2 linked regions of the Bombyx mori genome follow. The protein of the gene in region 1 interacts with the protein of each later gene in a pairwise test. Links are inferred from orthologs where the notes say so. Each region holds a gene or a part of one and is shown on either strand. Other genes may lie near its edges.

Region 1 (11,178 bases):
ACACTTTGATAAGTTTAATATCGGTTTGTGCAGAAACTATGTCCTCAAATATTTGCCAGGGGTGGTTGCTGGTTTGTTAAATATGAATGCTTCAAAACAACAATCATTCATGCTTACTTTGGTAAATTAATATTATTTTAGGCTATTTGGGTTTCATCCATAAGTTAATTGTCTATCTTTGTGTTTTTATTTTTATTTTTTTTTATTGCTTAAATGGGTGGACTAGCTCACAGCCCACCTGGTATTAAGTGGTTAATGGAGCCCATAGACATCTACGACGTAAATGCGCCACCCACCTTGAGATATCAATTCTATGGTCTCAGTATAGTTACAACGGCTGTCCCGCCCTTCAAACCGGAACGCATTACTGCTTCACGGCAGAAATAGGCAGGGTGGTGATACCTATCCGCGTGGACTCACAAGAGGCCCTATCACTAGTAATTACGCAAATTGTAATTTTGCTGGTTTGATTTTTATTACACGATGTTATTCCTTCACCGTGGAAGTCAATCGTGAACATTTGTCCAGTACGTATTTCATTACAACAATTGGTACCCTCCTGCGGGATTCGAACACCGATGCATCGTTCAACACGAATGCACCGGACGTCTTATCCGTTAGGCCACGACGACTTCAACGACGACTATGGTCCAGGGTACTGTTAGTAGTGAGAAGGCCGAACTTTTTAAAAAAAAAGGATTTATTCGAAACTACACAATATTTTTAATGAATAATTAATTATAATAAAAGAATTTAGAAATAGTGAGGAAAATTGGTAAACGTCTCACTTCAATGAATATCTGACCCGAACTGAGCCTGGTATGTTCTCATGAAATCACTGTGAGAGAGCTTATGATGAGTAAGGTGTTTGGTAAGCATTAGTCTATACAGGCTAGGGATATAACAGTACGAATACTTTCCATCCTGCTTAAAGAGGATCTAGTCTAAGTACTAGTATTGATAACTGTATCTCTATCAGTCTATCTATTTGCATGCCTGATATTAATAATAGGATAGAAATTGAGAACAAATCATGCACTATCATCCAGCCCCAATTTAGGATTCCCTGTATTACAGGACTGACATACTTTTAAATATACATATATAGATAATAAACACCCTGACAAACACCAAACAAAATTGTTTATTACAAGTATGTTTGCCCAATGTGGTAATCAAACACATGATTCTCCACGAAAACAGTCAGGCGTTCTAACTTACTGCACCACCAAGTCAACCATGTAATAACACTATTCTATTAAAATTATGCATATGTATGTTCTAATTATTTCCTAGTAAGCATTTTGGTTTTAATTAATATCATTCCCCGAAGAATAAAACTGTATAGTGCTTGTAACATCACATGTACTGTCAGTAACAAACCTGAAATTAAACTTTTTAGCGCTGAGTTTATATTCACATATTTAAAAAAAAGAGAATGTACCTTCTTTTTCTCCAACTTATCCCACTAGTTGGGGTCGGCACAGCTAATTTTTCTCTTCCAGTCTCTTCTATCAACCGTCATTTCAACACTCACTCCTCTCTCTCATCTCGTCATTCACACACTCCATCCATGTCTTCTTCGGTTGTCCTCTTCCCCCTCTACCTTGCACTACCATTTCCATACATCTTCTAGTCACATGCGTGAGTTTCGTCGTTACGCAGCACATGTCCATACCACGCTAACCGTCCGCTCTTTGATTTGTTGATTACCGGGGCTACTATCACACTTCCTCTGCTATACTCATTCCTTATCTTGTCCATTCTTGTCCACTCCACACATCCATCTCAACGTTCGCATCTCTACCGCGTGCACTCCTCTTTCATGCATTACTTTCTTCACCTAACAATATAATATACCTTATCAAAAAAAAAATAACTTAAAAATTTTACAAAAATCATCGTCATCATCATCATTAGCCCATTGTTGTCCACTGCTGGACGTAGGCCTCTCCCAATACGGCATATATTTTTTTTACTGCTTAGATGGGTAGACGAGCTCACAGCCCACCTGGTGCTAAGTGGTTATGGTGATAACGTAAAAGTTAACTCAATTTTGTATGGAGTTGGAACGTTTTCCGCTAGGGGCGCTGTTCCACACAGGTTTACACCGATCTATCCTAATCACTGCAGCACCCAGTCAGTGATATTCTCGTAGCCACGACAGGTGGCGCGCGAGTAAGCTTAAGATAGGCAGCGGCTTAGCTCTGCCCCTGGCATTGCTGACGTCCATGAGCGACGGTGACCACTTACCATCAGGTGGGCCGTATGCTCGTCTGCCTACAAAGGCAATAAAAAAAAAAAGATATGTCTTCATATATCAGTTATAGTCACAGTGGACTGGGTTTCATTAGTAATACAATAAATAAAATGTAGAGCCGCGGGGTCAATGACCGAGCGGCTTCAGTGGGGCGCGGGGTCACTGACCGGTACCGGAGTTATACTCACTTTGACGGAACATCCATTCAACAAATACTAATTAAAGTAAATTTACGGTTTAACCGTTAAAGCGCTTACCGTCGGTATATCGACCCTCTATTAACGCGTATAAAGTGCCGAACATCGAAATATCGACAGTTCGATTACATGTATTAGGTGTAGACCTGTATGCATGTGTCTTAGCGCGGGCACGTTTTATTTTTATTGTATAGATGGGTGGACGAGCTCACAGCCCGTCTGGTGTTAAGTGGTTGCTGGAGCCCACAGACATCTACAACGTAGTTACCGCCACCCACCTTGAGATATAAATTCTAGGATCTCAGTATAGTTACAGCGGCCGCTCTTCCCTTCAGACCGAAACGCATTACTGCTGCACGGCAGAAATAGGCAGGGCGCTGGTACCTACCCGCTCGGACTCAAAAGAGGTCCTACCACCAGTAAAATGTGTATATGTATATGAGGTCACTAGTTTTGCTTAAGAAGCAGTCTTAAAGTAAATTCAAACTCCATTGATGTTTTGCAGGCAAACCGCTGCAGCAGACGGACTGTGAGACGACTCTAGTGGAAGGGATCGCGTTTGACGAGGAGACCCCGCTGGCGCAGTGCATCAGCGCCTACGTGCCCAGGGAGCAGCGGGCGCATCCCAGCCCAGTCAGGACACGTTAGTTGACTTTGTCCAAGCATTCATATTATCCATGGGGCTGGGGCTTGCTGATAGGGAGATAGTTGGGGCCCGGTCTGGTCTACAAGGGTATTTCATGTTGTTAACTTCATTAAATATACCGGCGAGAGGGTGTCTTGCGAATCTGCACCAGTAAGTACCACCACCCTGTCTATTTCTGCGAAGCTTATGCACTGTAAAACTGAAACTTAACCCATGTCCTTGCGTTTAGATTAAGTTGTGACGAAGAAAGAGGATCTAAAGTAAGGTATAAGACAAAGGGAAGATCTTCCTCTGAGCGGGTGATATTTCTCGGTAGACCGACGGTCCGAATGTTATTCTTCGGAACTTGTATATATGCAAGCTTATCTTGAAAATGTCGTAAGCGAGATTCAGGCATTTGTCAAAAATATTGCGTTGTTGTATAATGGCTACCTGCCACACATATCAACTCGGTGACTTTGTCCGCAGCGTCGTCCCCCGCGCGGAGGCCGGCGCAGCCCCGGGGCGCCGCCCCCCGCCGCTGCGGCGCGGACTCCTTCTCGGTGCTCTCGGACGAGATGATCCTGAGCGTGTTCCGCTGGCTGCCCAAGCGCACGCTCGCGCACTGCATGCTCGTCTGTAAGAGGTAATTCACTTGAATTCTCTCTGAGTTCGGACCTATCAGTCTCAGTAACAACTCAGTACGGCTTGGTTTGTGAGTGGGCTAGTGAGTGAGCTGGTTATAATTACGACGGACATCCGTACTAATATCATACGTGTCATCAAAAAAAGATTAGGCTGTATGGTACGATGATACCTTTGCCTTTCCAGTTGGAAAAATAAAACTAATATTACTAAAGTAGACATGTGACAATTAGAACATCAGTAACACCTCCAACGTGCAGTCGGTTATCGATTCACTATAACGTGGGTACGTGTGTTCGGTCCCAGGTGGTACCGAATAGCTTCGGACGAGACGCTGTGGCAGCGGCTGGACCTCGGCAACAAGGCGATAGCTAGAGACGCCCTGGGGAAGATCCTGGACAGGAAGCCGGTCATAGTCAGACTGGCCAGCTCGGAGGTGAGCTGCCTCTAATCGTTCTTCATTAAATTATTATCATTTACAACTAAACACGGAAAATAAAAAAATAATAAATCATACAAGTCTTTATCTGCTATAGACAAATTGATTAAATTTTATCAATTTGTGGTTTCTGAAAATTTACAAAATCCTTCACTAAAATAAAATATAGGATAGGATAGGTAATAAATATGTTACTGCCATCTACAGGAGCAATGAGAAACTAATCGAAGCGAAGCCATCTAGTGGCCGATGCCCGTAAACATTTTTGTTGAGTGTTCGAGTTGCTTATCTAATATGTAACTAATTTGTGTGTATTATCTATGAGTTCACGCACAACCGTCGAAGTGGACACACGAGTGTACGTCCGCGCTTCGCCCGCTACTCGCCGCCATTCCCCTTCGAACTTGGACCCTCTGGATCCTTAGGATCCTCTGGAGTATTCATTACCCGGTGCTCCAACTGGAGAACACAAAAAACTCTATTTTACAGTACAGTACAGCTCGGACACTCCACACGACAAGTTTACAAATATCGAGAACATTCCCGATAGCACCAGTCGTTTCTGCTATTTGACGACAGATGGCGCTACTCGTGCCCCCGCGGCAGCGGCTTGGCTCTGCCCCTGGTATTGCTTAAGTCCATGGGCGACGATTGTAATGTTGTACATTTGGAGGTGTTAAAGAAAAACGTCTTCTTGCGTGTATTCCATGTTTAATTATCATCTTAATCCTAGTTTACAATTATGAAGAAGCCTATGTTTCTGGGTGGTCCGCCTTATTAGGGGGACATACGAGATTACACCTATTAATTATGTTATATACCAAATGATATGCTATGCTATGCTATAATATATAAGTATACACACTTCATGGTAACCGCTCACCATCAGGTGGGCCGTATGCTCGTTTGCCCTATACGGCAATAAATAAATAAAACTTTTTATTTCAGATCGGTTCGTGGTGCTCGGGGTCAACAGCGCCGTCCCGCGTCCAATATTTAGACCTGAGCATGTGCTCGATACAGCTGGAGACTTTGGACCGGCTGCTGGAGAACTGTCCCGGCTTGAAGAAGTTGAGCTTGGAGAGTGTGAACGTTGCTGACACTACCTGCGCTATCCTGGGTGAGTGGCTCCTGGATTGGTCCTGTGCGTATGTAGCGGTAAGAACACAAGATATTTGACAGATGCCTGAATCTCGCTTACGACATTTTCAAGATAAGCTCGCATATATACAAGTTCCGAACAGCAATATTCGGACCGTCGGTCTACCAAGCAAATATCACCCGCTCGGCGGAAGATCTTCCCTTTGTCGTATATCTCTACAGCGTATAGTATTGTTACGTGCTGAGGGTTCGGGATAAATAAAATTTCACCAAAGGACAACTTGAAAAACTGTATTCAACACTTAGAACTCTCAATTCGCTTCTTCCGCTTCGCTTCAGGTGATCCGTTCGCTGTTTCGCTTCGAGTAGTTCCGATTATTGACTGACTGCGTGCCGTCTCTGCAACGCTTTTATAGCCGATACCACATCCCTACAATTATCAAGAATATTCCACACATCTCTAGTAGTTGTAGTTCCCGCTAGGTGACAATAGATGGCGTTGTACTTCTCGAGCGTTCTAGGTCCTTCGATATCCGTTTGACTATTCGGCGATAGATGGCGTTACTATTACCGGCGTAACAGTATAGTATGGTAGGACGTCTTGTGATTAACCACGGGTAATTTGCACGGAAATTACTTTTCTCAAAACTACGGTAGAATATCTTAAGACAGCTTACTGTATAAAATAAAATAATATAAATAAAATAATTTCACTTACAATATACATTAAACAATTAAACAATTTGCTGGGTGATGTCCGCGGTCTACAGCTGTAATAACAAGTTATGTAATTGTGTTTTCAGGTAGATGTACAAATTTGGAGACATTAAACATGACAATGGCACAAGGGATTACCGCAGAAGGGTCGAGAGCGTTACTTGAGGGATGTGTGAAGTGAGTTTTATTTGCTTACATTAATAGATCGGTCTATTAGTCCTTATCCTAGCCAAAAATACCTTGTCTAGTATTTAATCACTAGTGGTGGAAGGTCTTGTGAGAGCAGTAGCTGCCACCACCCCGCCTGTTTCTGCTGTGAAGCAGTAATCCGTTTCGGTTTGAAGGGTGGCACTCCGAGCTCATGTCTCAAGATGGCATCTGCAGGTCCACTCACGATGTGCTGATGCCTACGGGCTCTGATAACTTTTTAGGTAATTTGAATCATGAGCTGATTCATTCATCTATGCCATTAAAACTAAATTATCTTTTAACTAATTTTATATTTTATGGAACGTAACAGGAAACTTTGATTGCAAATTATTACTGGTGGTAGGACCTCTTGGGAGTCCGCACGGGTAGGTACCACCACCCCGCCTATTTCCGCCGTGAAGCAGTAATGCATTTCGGTTCGAAGGGTGGGGTAGCCGTCGTAACTATACTGAGACCTTAGAACTTATATCTCGAGTGGGTGGCGCATTTACGTTGTAGATGTCTATGGGCTCCAGTAACCACTTAACATCAGGTGGGCTGTGAGCTCGTCCATCCATCTAAGCAATAAAAAAAATATAAAAAAATAAAAAAAAATCCTAAAACATTTTCACATTAGTAATATGTATACAAATTATATTGTGAAGCGCTGGGGTTCGGGATGAATAAATGGTCCACCGAAGTACAACTTAAAACTATTTATCACTTAAAACACTCACAGAACACTTCTTCTTCCGCTTCCCTTCGGGTGATCCGTTCTCTGTTTCGCTTCGAGTAGTTCCGATTACTGACTGACTGCGTGCCGTCTCTGCAACGCTTTTATAGCCGATACCGCATCCCTAGAATTTTCCAGAATATTCCACGCATTTCGGGTATTGTGTTTCCGCTATTTGACAATAGATGGCATTGTACGTATTTTTATACTCATTCGACTATTCGGCGATAGATGGCGTTATTCTTACCGGCGTTACAATATTATGTATCTGTTTGGAAAATTCATGACGAGACCCCCTTGGAATTTTCAGCCTACAGTCCTTGAATATATCGTGGTGCAATCTGAGCGAGGCGGCTCTCCAGGTGCTGGTGGACATGTTGCCGCGCCGGCTGCAGCGGCTCAACCTCGGCGGAGCCAGGATTATGACTGATGAGTGTAAGCAATTAATATGATCCGGAGAACCTTTACTGGTGGTAGGAAGTCTTGTGAGTCCGCGCGGGTAGGTACCACCGCCCTCCATTTCTGCCGTGAAGCAGTAATGCGTTTCGGTTTGAAGGGTGAGGCAGCCGTTGTAACTATACTGAGACCTTAGAGCTTATATCTCAAGGTGTGTGGCGCATTTACGTTGTAGATGTCTATGGGCTCCGAAAACCACTCAACACCAGTTGGGCCGTGGGCTCGTCCACCCATCTAAGTATCTTCGAGCTTACCAGAATAGGTAGGGAAAAAACATACGAATGCACCGGACGTTTTTTTTTCATTGCCCTTGTAGGCAGACGAGTATACGGCCCACCTGATGGTGAATAGTTACCGTTGCCCATGGACTTCAGCATAGGCAGAGCCAAGCCGCTGCCTACCGTTAAGTACTCTCCACAAGCTTCGTTTGAAGAAAGATAAGGACGCAGTGGCTTCAGGTAGTATGGATGACCTCAGCTCCGATGGCGGGTGGTGCGATGATAAATACGAGATGATGGAATCGTCTCAAATAATTCCTCTTATCTTTTAGGCCACGACGACTTCAAACTTGTCTATGAAACTCATCAAAATAATTTCTAAGAAGTTTTCGATCCTGTAAGTAATATGGAATAAGCGTTTTCACTCTATATTCTGTGTTCCCCAGTGACGGAGCGGCTGTGCGCGCGCTGCCCGCGCCTGGCCGAGCTGGACCTGTCGGACTGCTCGCGGCTGACCCCCCGCGCGCTGCAGAGTCTGGTGACCCTGGGCAGGCTCGAGCACGCGGCCCTCAGTCGCTGCTACATGCTCTCCGGACATACGCTTTCGTAAGTGTCCATACATATGTCGGAGAGGCCACAACTATTAACACCATCGTCAGACATCGTAGGGGCGAATAGGGTGACCGAGCTAAGAGAAATATTGAGTACACCAATCACGTTTGTTATCTTAGAACAATCTAGAAATCTTCTTTTGACGTTAGCAAACGAAAACGAATGACAGTTCTTAGGACGGAGGCGCCGCTCTTCAAGAATGCTGGTTGGTAAGTGTGATGGCGTCCACTCGCCTCCATCGGCTAGGCTCTGTCGTAGCACGAGGTTAGCCGAGTTCCGACGGCGCTGCCATCTCTCGGGAATCGTGCTGCGTTTCCTTTAGCTACCAAACTAATGACTGTCTCCAACATACTAAAAATATTTTTAGTCGTCGTTTTTAGCGGGTGTAATTCCTCGAATACGGTCTAACCGTGATGATAACACCAAACAATAGATTTTGCACCTTTAATTACCAAGTTAAATGTCGCTTAAACCAAATATCCTTTCACTCCTCAATACTATGTTCAAGTAAACTCTAGATTTATTCGTAAACTAACATTGTTGCAGTAAATTGTCAGCGATGCCTTCTCTGCGATACCTAGAAGTTTGGGGGATGCTGCAAGCTCCAAATCTTAGTTTATTAAAAGCCAATCTACCATCGATCCAGATCAACCACTTCATGTTCAGGTATTTATTAAAGAAAAACCCAAGTTTCCTTAGTGACTGAAATCCGTTGATTTAGTGTTTTTCAAAGTTGTAATAACGTGTAATAACGGTGGTTTATTAACTGTTTAGTATCTATGAAGCCTTGTTCGGATTAGGCGATTAGTTTAGTCGAGCGCCGAGTAATTTAGTGGCTAAACTACTCGCCCGAAAAAATAGAACAAAATGGATTGACTTGACTAAATTATTTACTAACCTTCTCGACTAAATTTTTGGTGCTCAGACACATTTAGCTACTAAATTACTCGGTACTCGACTAAAATGCTCGCCTAGTCCGAACAAGGCTTGAGAGTGCACAAACGTGGGAAAATTAAACAAAACCACTGGACGTAACTTCTCGGGATCCTCCACTGAAAAAGTCTCAGTAAACGACCACCATTTTACTGAGATTATATTTTATCCCAGTTGATTAATGTCTCAAATTAATCACTCTCATTTCATTTCATTTTACTCCATCATTTTTCATAAACCTAAAGGTCTTAGTTGCCAGGTCATAAAATCCATTGAAAAAAACATAATAACATTTTTCTTAAAAAATATATCTTTAGATCGTTATTGTTTCCGTTCTCAGCGCCATAGCGAGGCCCACGGTCGGCACGCGCCGCTCTTCAGTGTGGGGATTAAGAACCAGAGACTGAGTATATTTTATGTATGTATTTTATTTTTATTTAAGTTATAGAAAACCTTACATTATACAAATGTGATCGAATTAAATACATCTTTATTATATTATGTTGTGATTTCATTCTTGTGTCTTTTATTTATAAACACTTTAGCGACTAAAGTAAACACAGCTATCTCTCTCTCTCTTCGATCAGTCCCTCACTGCTGAGGATCGTGACTCCGTCCGATTTCGTCAACCAACTGTCTCCATCGATCCCGCCCTGCAGCCCGGTGGAGTGCGTCGCTGATAGGTATCCCCAGTTCCTCCGCTATTTGGTCCGACCATCGTTTGGGACCTCTACCCCTAGGCCTTTTTCCCTCTATTTTACCGGTCACCACAAGGCGTTCCAAATTGCTGGTATCCCTATGTGCAACATGACCAAAATACCGCAATATTCTTTGTAGGCAGATTGTGGATAATATGTATATAATAATAATAATAATAATAATGGATATAACACAGCTATAGTAGATTAAAATTGAAAGTGCAGCTTACTGAGTAATCTACCAGCGGCTACAGCAGAGCGGCCCAGAAAAATCTTGATATAAAACTATCCTATTACAATATGACTTACTGGGTCCTATCCAGTTGATTATCAAGCCATAACACACATTGACATTGATACAATGGCGTGGAATAGTTAAACCTTCTCTTCCTATGAGTATCACCAAAGTAAGAAACGTATCAGAGAATGGCATACTGCGACAGCAAATTTTTATTTTGCATAATGCATTTTATGGCATTTTAATGGTATGCTCTGCTGGGCTAGGCTCTGCTCCTGGCATTGATGATGCCCATGTGCGACGGTAACCACTCATCATCGGGTGGGACGTATGCTCGGCTGCCTACAAAGCCAATAAAAAATATATTTCTGGGTGGTATTATTTATTTTGGTTTTAAGATATAGAATTAAGCTTTAGGTTTTAAGGACTGCATTTTTTTTTGCGTATATGGTTGACCGAGCTCTCAGCCCTCCTGGTGTTAATTGGTTACTGGCGCCCATAGGACATCTACGACGTAAATGCGCCACCCACCTTGAGATATGAGCTCTAAGGTTTTTCTTTTACAACGGCTGCCCCACCCTTCAAAACAAAACGCATTACTGCTTCACGGTAGAAGTAGGCAGGGTGGTGGTACCTACCCGTGCGGACTCATAAGAGGTCTTACCACCAATAATTACGCAAATTATAATATGCGATTTGGAGCAAAGCGGAAAAAGCGAATTACGAATTGTAAACTGTTCTGTGAGTTTTCTAAGTTAAATAGAGTTTTAATTTGTACTTCGGCAGAATTTTTATTAACCAGAACCCGTGTAACAATACGAAATAAATTTGAGAATAAACCATGAAAGCAATTTTAATGATAACTGTTGCAGTAAACTTTGCACAATTAGATAAATAACGAACACATATAGACCCAAACATTTATTTGTGTTAAGTGGTTACTGGCGCCCATAGACATCTACGATGTAAATGCGCCACCCACCTTGAGATAATAATAAGTTCTAAGGTCTCAAGTATAGTTACAAGTATTTGTACAGTTAATACTATTTCTTGAAGGTACGTTTAGCTTTTTGCTCGGCCGCATCGCTGGCTTGCACGAAAGTTCGTTTCAACTTAT
Region 2 (10,498 bases), on another chromosome or scaffold:
CAAATTCAGTAGTTACGTAGATTTTTGACTCGAATCGAATTTTCGTTCTACTAGGTAGGTATACTATTTCTCAAATAATTTTAGTTTATTTTTTAGACTTTTAGTTTTAGGTTTAGCAAATATGTGAAAGCTATTGTTATAATTATAAGTCGTATCATAAGTGACGGTGTGTACGGGAATAAAAAAACGGCTTTGTGGTAGTTGGAATAAGCCCTTAGACTATTAAAGATAAGGTAGGGAAAATAAAATAAAAATATCGACAGCTTACAAAATAGAACAATAGAATTTAAAAAAAAAAATTTTTTTTTTTTATTGCTTTGATGGGTGCACTCACAGCTTACCTGGTGTTAAGTGGTTACTGGAGCCCATAGACATCCACGACGTAAATGCGCCACCCACCTTGAGATATAAATTCTAAGGTCTCAAATATAGTTACAACGGCTGCCCCACCCTTCAAACCGAAACGCATTACTGCTTCACGGCAAAAATAGGCAGGGCGGTGGAATCTACCCGCGCGGCCTCACAAGAGGTCCTACTACCAGTAAGCTCGGTTGAGTTAGTAGATATTTGACTTATTTGTTCATTGTTGAATGATCAGAATATTAATTCGTTGATGTTTGGATCATAGGTACTCAACGTCCGTATTCAATCCAATTTGAGCGTCCCTCTTTTTATTTAGACGGTCACATTTAAATATCGGTACTGTTTATTGCCGGTTTTTTTTTGTTTTAAATATAACTTGAGTTTTGGATTCGTTTGCCAGTAAGGACTACAATACGTAGGTACCCATGTTGCTAATGCAAAAAATGGTGTACGCAATTCTGGCAAGCCTTCTTTTTTTGAAGCCTTTAGAAGGATTATAGCATGATTTTTAGTTATTTCTATTTTTTACAGCCAAAATAGCTCCGTTCCTCATAAAATACGCACCTCGAAAGAACGAAGAATGACATCAGGATATTCATCTTTGAGCAGAGCCTGGAGGAAGTCCAACGTGATCTCACTCATGTTTACAACCAGCAGATGCCGTGAGGACTAGATAACTGGACTGATGTGGATATAGCGTGCTACGATCTCCATTACAGATCATTGGTGACCATTCTTTGTATATAGCATTGGGATATTCCTACAGTTATAAATTTGTTTGTTCTATTCGAGTCTTATTTAATTTATATATATAAAATGTAGGCTCATTACGTTCGTAGTGGAAAAATATAATAAAATATATAATAAGCTTTTTATATTAATCTTGGCAACCCCGCCAGACATTGCCGATACCATCAGTGGTCATATTGAGTATATAGGATGCACATGAGCGCATACTCTCCTTTTTATGTTTATATTTATACTCACCTGGACATCAGCCTCAATATTCTAAGACGTATTTTTTTTTATGTTCTGTTAAACTGATTTTTGGTAATTATCTCACCAACAAAACGCCAATTAAGTAGTCTACATGATAATTAAGTGTAATGTTCAATGAATAATGTAATGTGTAACAATTGACTAGTGCCAAAAATTGATTTTTTATTTTTTTGTTTTTGTTTGGTGTTACATGATTACCGGATCCCATAGACATCTACAACGTAAATGCCGCCATCTACCTTGAGATATGAGCTCTAAGGTTTCAGTATAGTTACAACGGCTGCCCCTACCTTCAAACCGAAACGCATTGCTGCTTCACGGCAGAAACAGGCAGGGTACCTACCCGTGCGGACTCACAAGAGGTCCTACCATCAGTTAGTAAACTTAAAGTTTATAATAAATATGAAAGAATGGCTACTGCATACAGTCCCACGATCGAACATTCCTTATTGGGGTCTGGTGATTGAATAATGCGCCACAGTTTAACTATAGTTAAGCGCTCGGATATGCCTCGTACATCCCTTGCGTAAACTGTTTAACTAGAGGGGGAATTACGATCGTGAAATGATCAGTTTAAATGCATATGGAAGTGATGCAGAGCCATTTAAGATCTTTCAGATCGTGTCACAGATAAATGTTAGTTTAAACTGATTTGATTGCTAATTCAATTATCGTCTAATTAGGACTACACCGATACTATACCAATTAATTTCTTTCATAGTCGAACACAGTTTTGAATTTTACTTGCTAAATGTAAAACAGTTATAACATCAAAAAAGTATATTTTATCTTTTTACGCGTGTTCCTGGCCTTTATTTCAGTCTAATATATTTTATTGCCAAGATTGGTAGCCGGGCTCACGGTCCACAGGGTTTTAAATGGTTACAGAATCCCGCAGACATCAACCACGTAACTGCCGCCACCTACCATGAGACAAGAGTTTCTGGTCTCAGTTTTTACAGTAGGTACAAGAAGAGTTCGAGGTGTAACGTAGCCCGTAGATTCGCGTTTCTGATCCGGTGGTAGATTCAGCGAAGCCCTGCTCTTGCTACGGTTAGTGTTAGTTATTCTCTCTGGTTGAGCCCGTGAGCTCACCTACCGGTCCGTCAGTTGTTGAAATAGCCCCATAAGCTACCCAAAATTAGGCAGAGGAGAAAAATAAAACATAACCTCAGCGGGTCGCGATTCCAACTCGGTGGGACCAGTTATATTGAGGGACTGCAGTTATAGCTGTGTTTTATAACGTAACTTCAATCGCGAGTGCTTTGTTTGTGATTATTCCGTTGTCTTTTTATCGTCGCACCGCTTGTCACTGGAGTTCACCTATATCTACCACTTCGTTCGTCCCCACTCTACAGTGCATCTCTAAAAGTCTTTTTTGGTACCTACTCGCCATCTGATCTTTGGATTAACTTCCCTCTAAAATACTATCGTGCGATATGATATATCCTTCTTCAGATTAGGGTGGAGGAGATTTTTTATCAGTCCTCCTCTGTCGATAATCCTCATTGCTGAGAATTGTGGCTCGTCTTACAACTTTCTCCTGTATTATCCTGCGCCATTCCTGTCCTGCAACGTTTTTATCAGTAGGCAATGGCTGAGCTGTGCCTCTGGCATTGTGAATTTCCATGAGCGACGGTGACTCGCTATTGAGTCGTATTTGCTTACAAAGCAATTAAAAAACTCTCTTATGGATGTAGGAATTTGTTGAGAGTTCAAGGAATGCTTACAAAAAACCCTTGAATCCACGTCGCATTAATATTGTATTTTTCCCTTTTTGCACTTTCGCAGATGCTAATTAAAGCTAATGCCAAGATAGTTACGCGTAAGGAGCCGAAGAAATCCTAAAAACAGATTATAGGTCTACCAGGATCTGATGGCAAAAAGGGAAAAAAGAAATTGACGCTAGCAATATTGGGGAAATTAGAGTAATTGATAAAAAAAATTCTTATAGCGGCCGATTCTGTGTGATACATGCAAATATAAAAATTTATGCAATGATCAAAGATAATTTTTGAAAATCTTACTGTGGCGAATGTGGGGTTCGAAATTTAGACGAAAACTCCAATTACTCTGTTCATGAATTTAATAATTAATTATAAGCTATCAGAACTTGAAAATGGTTCCAAATACTGCACATCCATAAAAGTCTTAATCGGAAGAGAAAGACGAGGAAGGCGCAGTATTTTTGCCACCTTTCCTCTTTTTACCAGGGGTACTAAATACGCCTCAGTTGCCTTCAGCAACAATTCGTCTTATGGTAGTATTAGAAACACCTGAAATAAACCAAAGTTTAGTATACATAATTAATACACACGAAAAATGCAATAAACCAAAGTATCAAGACATGTCATTCCTACTAACCAGTCAACGCTTGCACATGGCTCAATGTGATCCAATGATTGTGATTGTTCTGCACCTTGTTCATCAAGTATTCTTTGATAAATATTGAAAACTATACTTGCGATCGAAGAGGTTTCTTCGACATTTTCACCACTTTTTAAAGGAAATTTGAAGCCAAACCAAAAACAATTCCTCGAAATTTCACTTTTTTCACAGATGGCATTTTTTTTTGCCATATGAAAATCGCTATTTTTTTCCCTTTTTTTGCCATCAGATTCTGGTAGACCTATAAATAATAATAATATTAATAACTTGACAATGAACGTTCGCCTGGAATTGTAAGAAAATCGTCATTTGAATTTATTGACAACTGACGTTTCTTTTGTGTAGTCTGTGTTTCATTCAAAGAGCACTGAGTAAACTTGAATAAAGTTCCGCTGAAAGATTCAATTGAACTTCAGCTGATATTGTATATTTCAATCGAAACGATTGAAATTCAAACCGTATGGTTAAAAAATTATTCTAACCCTTAGCGCTGTTGAAAATTATTAATTTTATTCGACGTACCTAATTAAAACTACAGTAATGCCCGTGGACCAGATTCAATATTCGGAAAGATATACAGATGACGTCTACGAATACAGGTAAAATATTTTGGTGAATTTCTTTCATGTCTCCTTAATTTAATGGTTAACAGCAACTAAAACACTACATATTTAGTTTGGATAAAACATTGTTTTGAAGAAATTAATTGAACGCCGTATCAGTTGTGTGTAAGTAAATAACATGTGACCGTCTCCTTGTAATCTGGGTGCAATCCTTTTTTAGTAAAATTAAAACGCTGACGTAAAAATTAAGCCGTTGTAAATGTGTAATTATCATAGTTACATTTGATAAATCTGGTTATTCATTATACAAGCGTCACCATCTGTTACGCCACCATCATGTCATAGTAGCCTCGTAATTGTGAAATAATTAATCCACGTTTGTATAAATTATGAAACCCCAAAAAATATTTCCAGGCATGTCATCTTACCACCGGATATAGCCCGCATGGTGCCAAAATCCCATCTTATGACAGAGACAGAGTGGCGAAACCTTGGTGTTCAGCAGAGTCCCGGCTGGCTCCACTTTATGGTGCATAATCCTGAACCCCATGTTCTATTATTTAGAAGACCTAGAACTGATATACCGGCTCCCTTGAATGGCTTAGATACAAATACTAGTTCTGCTGTGAAGGTTTGACTGTTTTTGTTGCATAGGCATATTTTTAGGTGTCATAGCTTAATATTATTTAAATTGCTTATTGAAACTATTATAGTTAAGACAAAACAAAAAAACTTTTCAATTTATTATAAATTAGCAGACATCAATTATTATTATATTACTTTATTTTGTCTCAGTCTAAATTCAAATCGGGGGTTTTAATAAAATTATTCATGACTTTGGATAACACAAAGGCTTGTTTGTGGATAATTCTCTGGAGGAGCTTGGATGAGGCTCATAAGCTCTACACAAAAAGACTAAAGTACATTGAGTTGTTACTTGTTTATTATTGAGAATAAATTTAACCATAGATAGAATTTTAACTTTGACCTCCTAATTAATATTAAGAAATACAAAACTGTGAAGTTAACATATTCATTAGATACCTGTTTATGAAAGAAATATTAACACTAAGTATGTGTTAGGTAATAATTACATTAAAAATGTACCAGTATATAATTTGCGAGTAGGCAATATAATCAGAACTCATTAAACTTTAACAAAAATGCTTGTATCAAATGTTGAATGAATGTAAAACTTAGCACATGCAACTACTAATACTTATAGCAGAATATATTATTTTTATGATAGAATAAAAAGTATTTACATGATTTTTAGTTAAAGAAGAAGATTTGTTTTTAAATAATGTTAAGAGAATACTTGTGTTACATTAAATATAAATTCTATGAAAATAATTACCATTCATCAGCATAGTGTTACTCGGTGTGACTATGTTTTCTGATAAATTATTGTAGACTACATCTAAGTAGTATAAGTTCTTTGTGAACTTAACGGCAACTTATCACATGGGTGGGTGCTCCAAAGTGAGTATGATTTTATTGAATGTAATTCTGTTCTAAAATATTATTCTGCATTAGCTATTACACATTCAGAGATGTAGTTACTAACTCTTGTATAAACCTTATGATTTAAAAACTGACAAAACGGAGGGTTTTTCTTGTTTATTCTGTCTTGTACCTTGAAATATTGACTAAAACAATCCTTCCTTAATATGCCTTATTTTATTTTTAAACATTTATTTTTCTAGTGGAAAATCAATATACTGAAAAATTGTAGTAATAGAAAACTGTTAATGTTAGTTCTGTTTTTACATTCAATGTTAAATAGTAGTAGTTCAAATGATCCCCAAAGAAATAAAACCAAATTTCAATTACCATAACACAAATAGTATTTTATAATGTTCACTTGATTTTTTCCACATAGAATTTACTTTTGTATTTTCATCCGGAACAATCCAAATCTTTCATTATTGTAGTAAATTCATAGTAAAAAAATTCTTCATCAATATTGATGCTGATAATTTTGAGGGCAAACAGTTATAGTTTCTTAGGCTAGTACCACTGTCTTTGTTTTAAATCGAAGACCGTGGTAGGTCCGGTAATATCAGCAGTAATTATTTAAAAAAATATTGTACAGAACATATTTTAATCCAAAACAGAATATATTATGCTGTGGTTTTCGTATCTCGATTTATGAAAAATGACTGAAAATTGCCTAAAAACGAATGTTTTTTGAGAAAATATTCCTCTACCTTTCAGTTGATTACGAAATTGGCTTGGCTGCAAACGCGAAACTAATTAATAATTTTTTCTTAGCATGATACAAAGACTGCAGGAGTCATAGATAGAACATCAAACAGTTATGTTTGAATCTGCGTCTGTTTCATCTAAGGTATTTTCTTTATCTTAAGATCGATGCCTCCTATGAACACTACGCTAACTCCAAATTCGTAGGTTTACAGGAGGAGTGTTTAAACGAAAAAAATTTATAAAATCTTTATTATTGCAGATATATTTATGGTTTACTCTTGCTTCGAACCCCATCAATAATAATTTGTAATACTTTTAAAATAGTGAAGCAATTTGCGTGAAAAACGAAAATTTTAAAATTTTGTGTTAGTGTTCCTTGGAGGCATCGCTTTAAGATAACTCGTGTACTTAAGGCGTACGTGTCCGTATAAATGATAGGAACAGTTATTGTTGTCTTCCTTATTCGAATACTGTGATTGTGCAACACACATACTGTTGTAAGCATCCGTGTTTACAAATAGTATTGGCTTCCTCACAATACAAACGCCATGATTACGGGCGGACGTGTACTGCGGGTAGGATTTAAATCTGTCTACCCTCTCTGTATTTCGTTCATTAAGCCTGTAAAAAAGTTAACTAAATTATTAAAATAAAAAAATGTTAAGTGTTTGTAACGTATTAATTTGCCTTAACAGCTAAATACAGCGTTATAGAAGAGAAATAAGTCTATATCTGAAACTAATTATTATCTACAGACCTTGTTATTGAAACACGATGTATTTTAGATTCAGTTACATAACGTTGCCTTTGCATTTTTAGTTTTCTCTTATTGATTACAAATGTAATTGTATATTGATTTAAGTTTTTATTAATGAATTAAGATGACAGCTGTTGAATAAATTATTAATAAATATGTACGTATTCTTATTTTTTTACCTATTCACGTCCGAGCATTTCAAAATTTTTCATTTTTTCGTTAGCAGCACGTGTCGTCAAACGTCTTTTACGTATCTACTACGGTTGATTGGTTTTGAAGACAGACAAGCTTACGGCTTCCCTGATCTTAAGAGGCTATCGTTAAGATGCTTATCGCTCATGGACATCAACAATATTTAAGTCGCTTATGTCGAAGAATTTCTAACCTCGTTTTCAGAAGGATATGTTATAGCCGTAAAGGGGAGTTTCTTATAGATCCGGGTGTCGGAACGCGCTGTGGACAATGGTTACTGCTGAGTATGGGTGGTGTAATCTGTTGCAGTGATGGACAGTCTTTTGTAGGAAGGATGGTGGAATCCTTTCGAACAATTTCTCAGCGCACTCGCGTGTGGAGCAATCAGGGAGAAGGAAGAGGGATTTATTTAAAAATTAAAACAAAACCTTTACTATGCTGAATGTTTATTTGGGATTTCATTTAACATCTAAAACATCATAAAACACAGTAAAATATAAAAATAAATGCGACAAGTAAAATTTATAGTCGTGGAAACTTTTTTTAATATTGAGAAACAGAAAGAAACCTACATCTAAATGATAATAGAATAAAATTATTAACAATATATTAGTTACTATATATATTTATTAGTAGTTCGCATAAAACAAAAAGTTTTTTTGAAAAATAAAATTGTATTCCCTTAAAATTAAAAAAAGCCGATAGTAAGTTGCCATTACGAAAAACGAATGTAGCGTGACGTCTCGAATGAAAACAACGATAATTTGATATGGATATCGGAAGTCCTTAATTATAAAGTTAGCTTTAACAGGTTTTCACTTAACATTCGTATAAAAGTCATCATTTCGAATATATCTTATCTAAAAAGGATAGGCAGCATCCTAGACACATGTACGCGTGGGATGGGATAATATCATCTCATCCCAAATATATCCTAAACGTGTCGGTGTGCCGTTTCATAGTGAAAAAGGTTGGATAGTATAATCTCTAAGAAGGGTCCTCTATTGTTCTACGATTATCTGGAGAATTAATATTCGATTACTACCAACTCGTTCAAGTGCCAGGCGTATAAAAGCACAGACACTTCGCAGAATGATTGAATTATGGAGTATTTATTCATTGTGATGGAAGCGGGTCAGCTAATTTGCAGATTTGCGTACCGGTTGGAAACTAGCAAGAGTTTAATATCAATGTCGGCTATGCTCTCACTGCTCATTAGCTGTAGGCATTGATTGATCTCCTGACGCAACTGTTGTTACGGTGGACTGAAAGTAGTTTTGCTTTTACGCTCCTCACAACAACACTTGAACGACGATAACTCCGGACGAGTCACTGCCTCCAACAATCATTACAATTTGCATCAAAGCGCACGATTAATATTTTGTTTTAATATCTAACAATAAATCGATAACATACACATGCACGTGGTTACATGTTTTAATTTATTTTTAATATTTATTATTGATAATCATACAATTCGCCTACGAACTACACTACTATAAACCTTCAACGAATCCGAACAGTTACAGCCGCAGAGACAGCTTCGACACGTGACAACCTTTGTGAAGTCCATCTTTAATTTTTTTAATACATTTTTTTTTCTCTAAAACTTAGGCCATTTCGGGTATCGCAACATCTGGCCGTTGTATAAATCATTACAGCTGTAAAGCTTACTAAATATTGTAGAAAAAGTGATACCACAGTACAAAGTTGCATCGATCTGGTAACATCGTTAAAAGCATTTTCGTAAAAATTTTCGTGATTTCGAAACACGCGCCTGTTATTTTCAATACATAGCAAAAATGATATGAGAGTATCCAAACAGTGATATGAATGTATTAATAAAGATTGTAAGTAGGTATAATACTAACAAGATATGTTCTTAAAATATTATTATTTTAGTACCAAAAACATTTCGGTACAATTTTTATTGTTAAAATATATAGAATATAATATATAAATGCTCGTTACATTGTCTTTTTCGTTGGATTGCTGTGTTCTGGCAGCACTGGCGCTAGCTTTAGGGGGGGACAACGAAAATAGTAGAAAATCTGAAAGAGTTGCCACGTCAAATAAAAAATAACAGAAATGGCGGATAGTTCGACTCAATCACGATACGTACTGCAACAATGGCGCGCCCTTATTTATACAATAAGCGTTGCATACGATTATCGTTAATATTTAAAAAAAACAAACAACTGCTGTGAACTAATTTGATTTGGTACATGTTCCATTGAAATTTAACTTTTAATTTTACGGCAGATGATACAAGACACTGATGGGACTACGCAATTTAAAGTTTGTGGTATTTTCAGAAAATATCAAATAGTGATTCATTATAAAAATGTAATCTTAATACGTTTGTTTTCAGTTTTAATTTCCGTAATGCAGTTAAAGAGGCGCACTCTCTATATCCCTTAATTGTTATTAATGTCCTAACTTCTTACGGTATGGTTTTCTTAGTTTAATCAGGAGACTGCCATTTTATGGATTGTATTGTACCAAATCAAGATAAAATCTCGTATTAGTTCCACATAGCTGTCAACTTACAGGCTTCTACTTTTTTGTGATCCCCTGGAAGCCATAAAGCTCAGGTTAGGAAACGCGTGGAATGTTTTATAAAAAGCTTTTGTATAAAAGTTAAGGACAGTCAATGTACAGTGCAATTTGTTAGTGATGAGTCGAAAATTAGTAATCATTAAAAGAAATTGTGACCAACAAGAAATTAATTAAAACGGTATCTCTATAAAGCAACACCATTGTAGAATAAATCTTTGGTTATGCTCAGTGTTGCCAGAACGTTGGGCGCGGTAGTTTGATTGCTTCGAATATAGCAACATTATATTGAAAGCACCGTGCGCGCGTAAGGTTCGCGTCGTTTTCGAGCCGTTCATTCGTTGTTTGCCGGTTTCCCGTTCGTGTACTGCGGTGGCGCGTTGCTCGGCGTGCCGGAGTCCTCGGACATCACCGAGACGAGCTCTTCTACGGCACGGCCCAAGTCATCTGAAAAAGTGTAAACAAATTTAAG

What was found.
Region 2: the proteins of S-phase kinase-associated protein 2 (region 1) and cyclin-dependent kinase regulatory subunit interact in a two-hybrid assay, tested with the Drosophila melanogaster proteins (2 studies listed by BioGRID). The link is inferred for Bombyx mori from reciprocal best matches to the Drosophila melanogaster genes Skp2 and Cks85A.

The regions. Positions count from the first base shown.
Region 1 is NC_085117.1:557,768-568,945, reverse strand, and holds part of S-phase kinase-associated protein 2, read left to right. Parts: intron 1-2,962; coding exon 2,963-3,100; intron 3,101-3,571; coding exon 3,572-3,728; intron 3,729-4,033; coding exon 4,034-4,163; intron 4,164-5,114; coding exon 5,115-5,286; intron 5,287-6,070; coding exon 6,071-6,161; intron 6,162-7,216; coding exon 7,217-7,341; intron 7,342-8,026; coding exon 8,027-8,186; intron 8,187-8,738; coding exon 8,739-8,858; intron 8,859-9,465; coding exon 9,466-9,532; 3' UTR 9,533-9,543; exon of another isoform or gene 9,544-9,639; intron 9,640-9,712; 3' UTR 9,713-11,104; coding exon of another isoform or gene 11,105-11,178. Other genes in the region: partner of xrn-2 protein 1, read right to left, coding at 11,105-11,178.
Region 2 is NC_085113.1:13,345,075-13,355,572, forward strand, and holds cyclin-dependent kinase regulatory subunit, read left to right. Parts: upstream 1-4,178; 5' UTR 4,179-4,290; coding exon 4,291-4,349; intron 4,350-4,727; coding exon 4,728-4,950; 3' UTR 4,951-5,305; downstream 5,306-10,498. Other genes in the region: uncharacterized protein LOC101737863, read right to left, coding at 928-1,005; dystrophin, isoforms A/C/F/G/H, read right to left, coding at 10,361-10,473.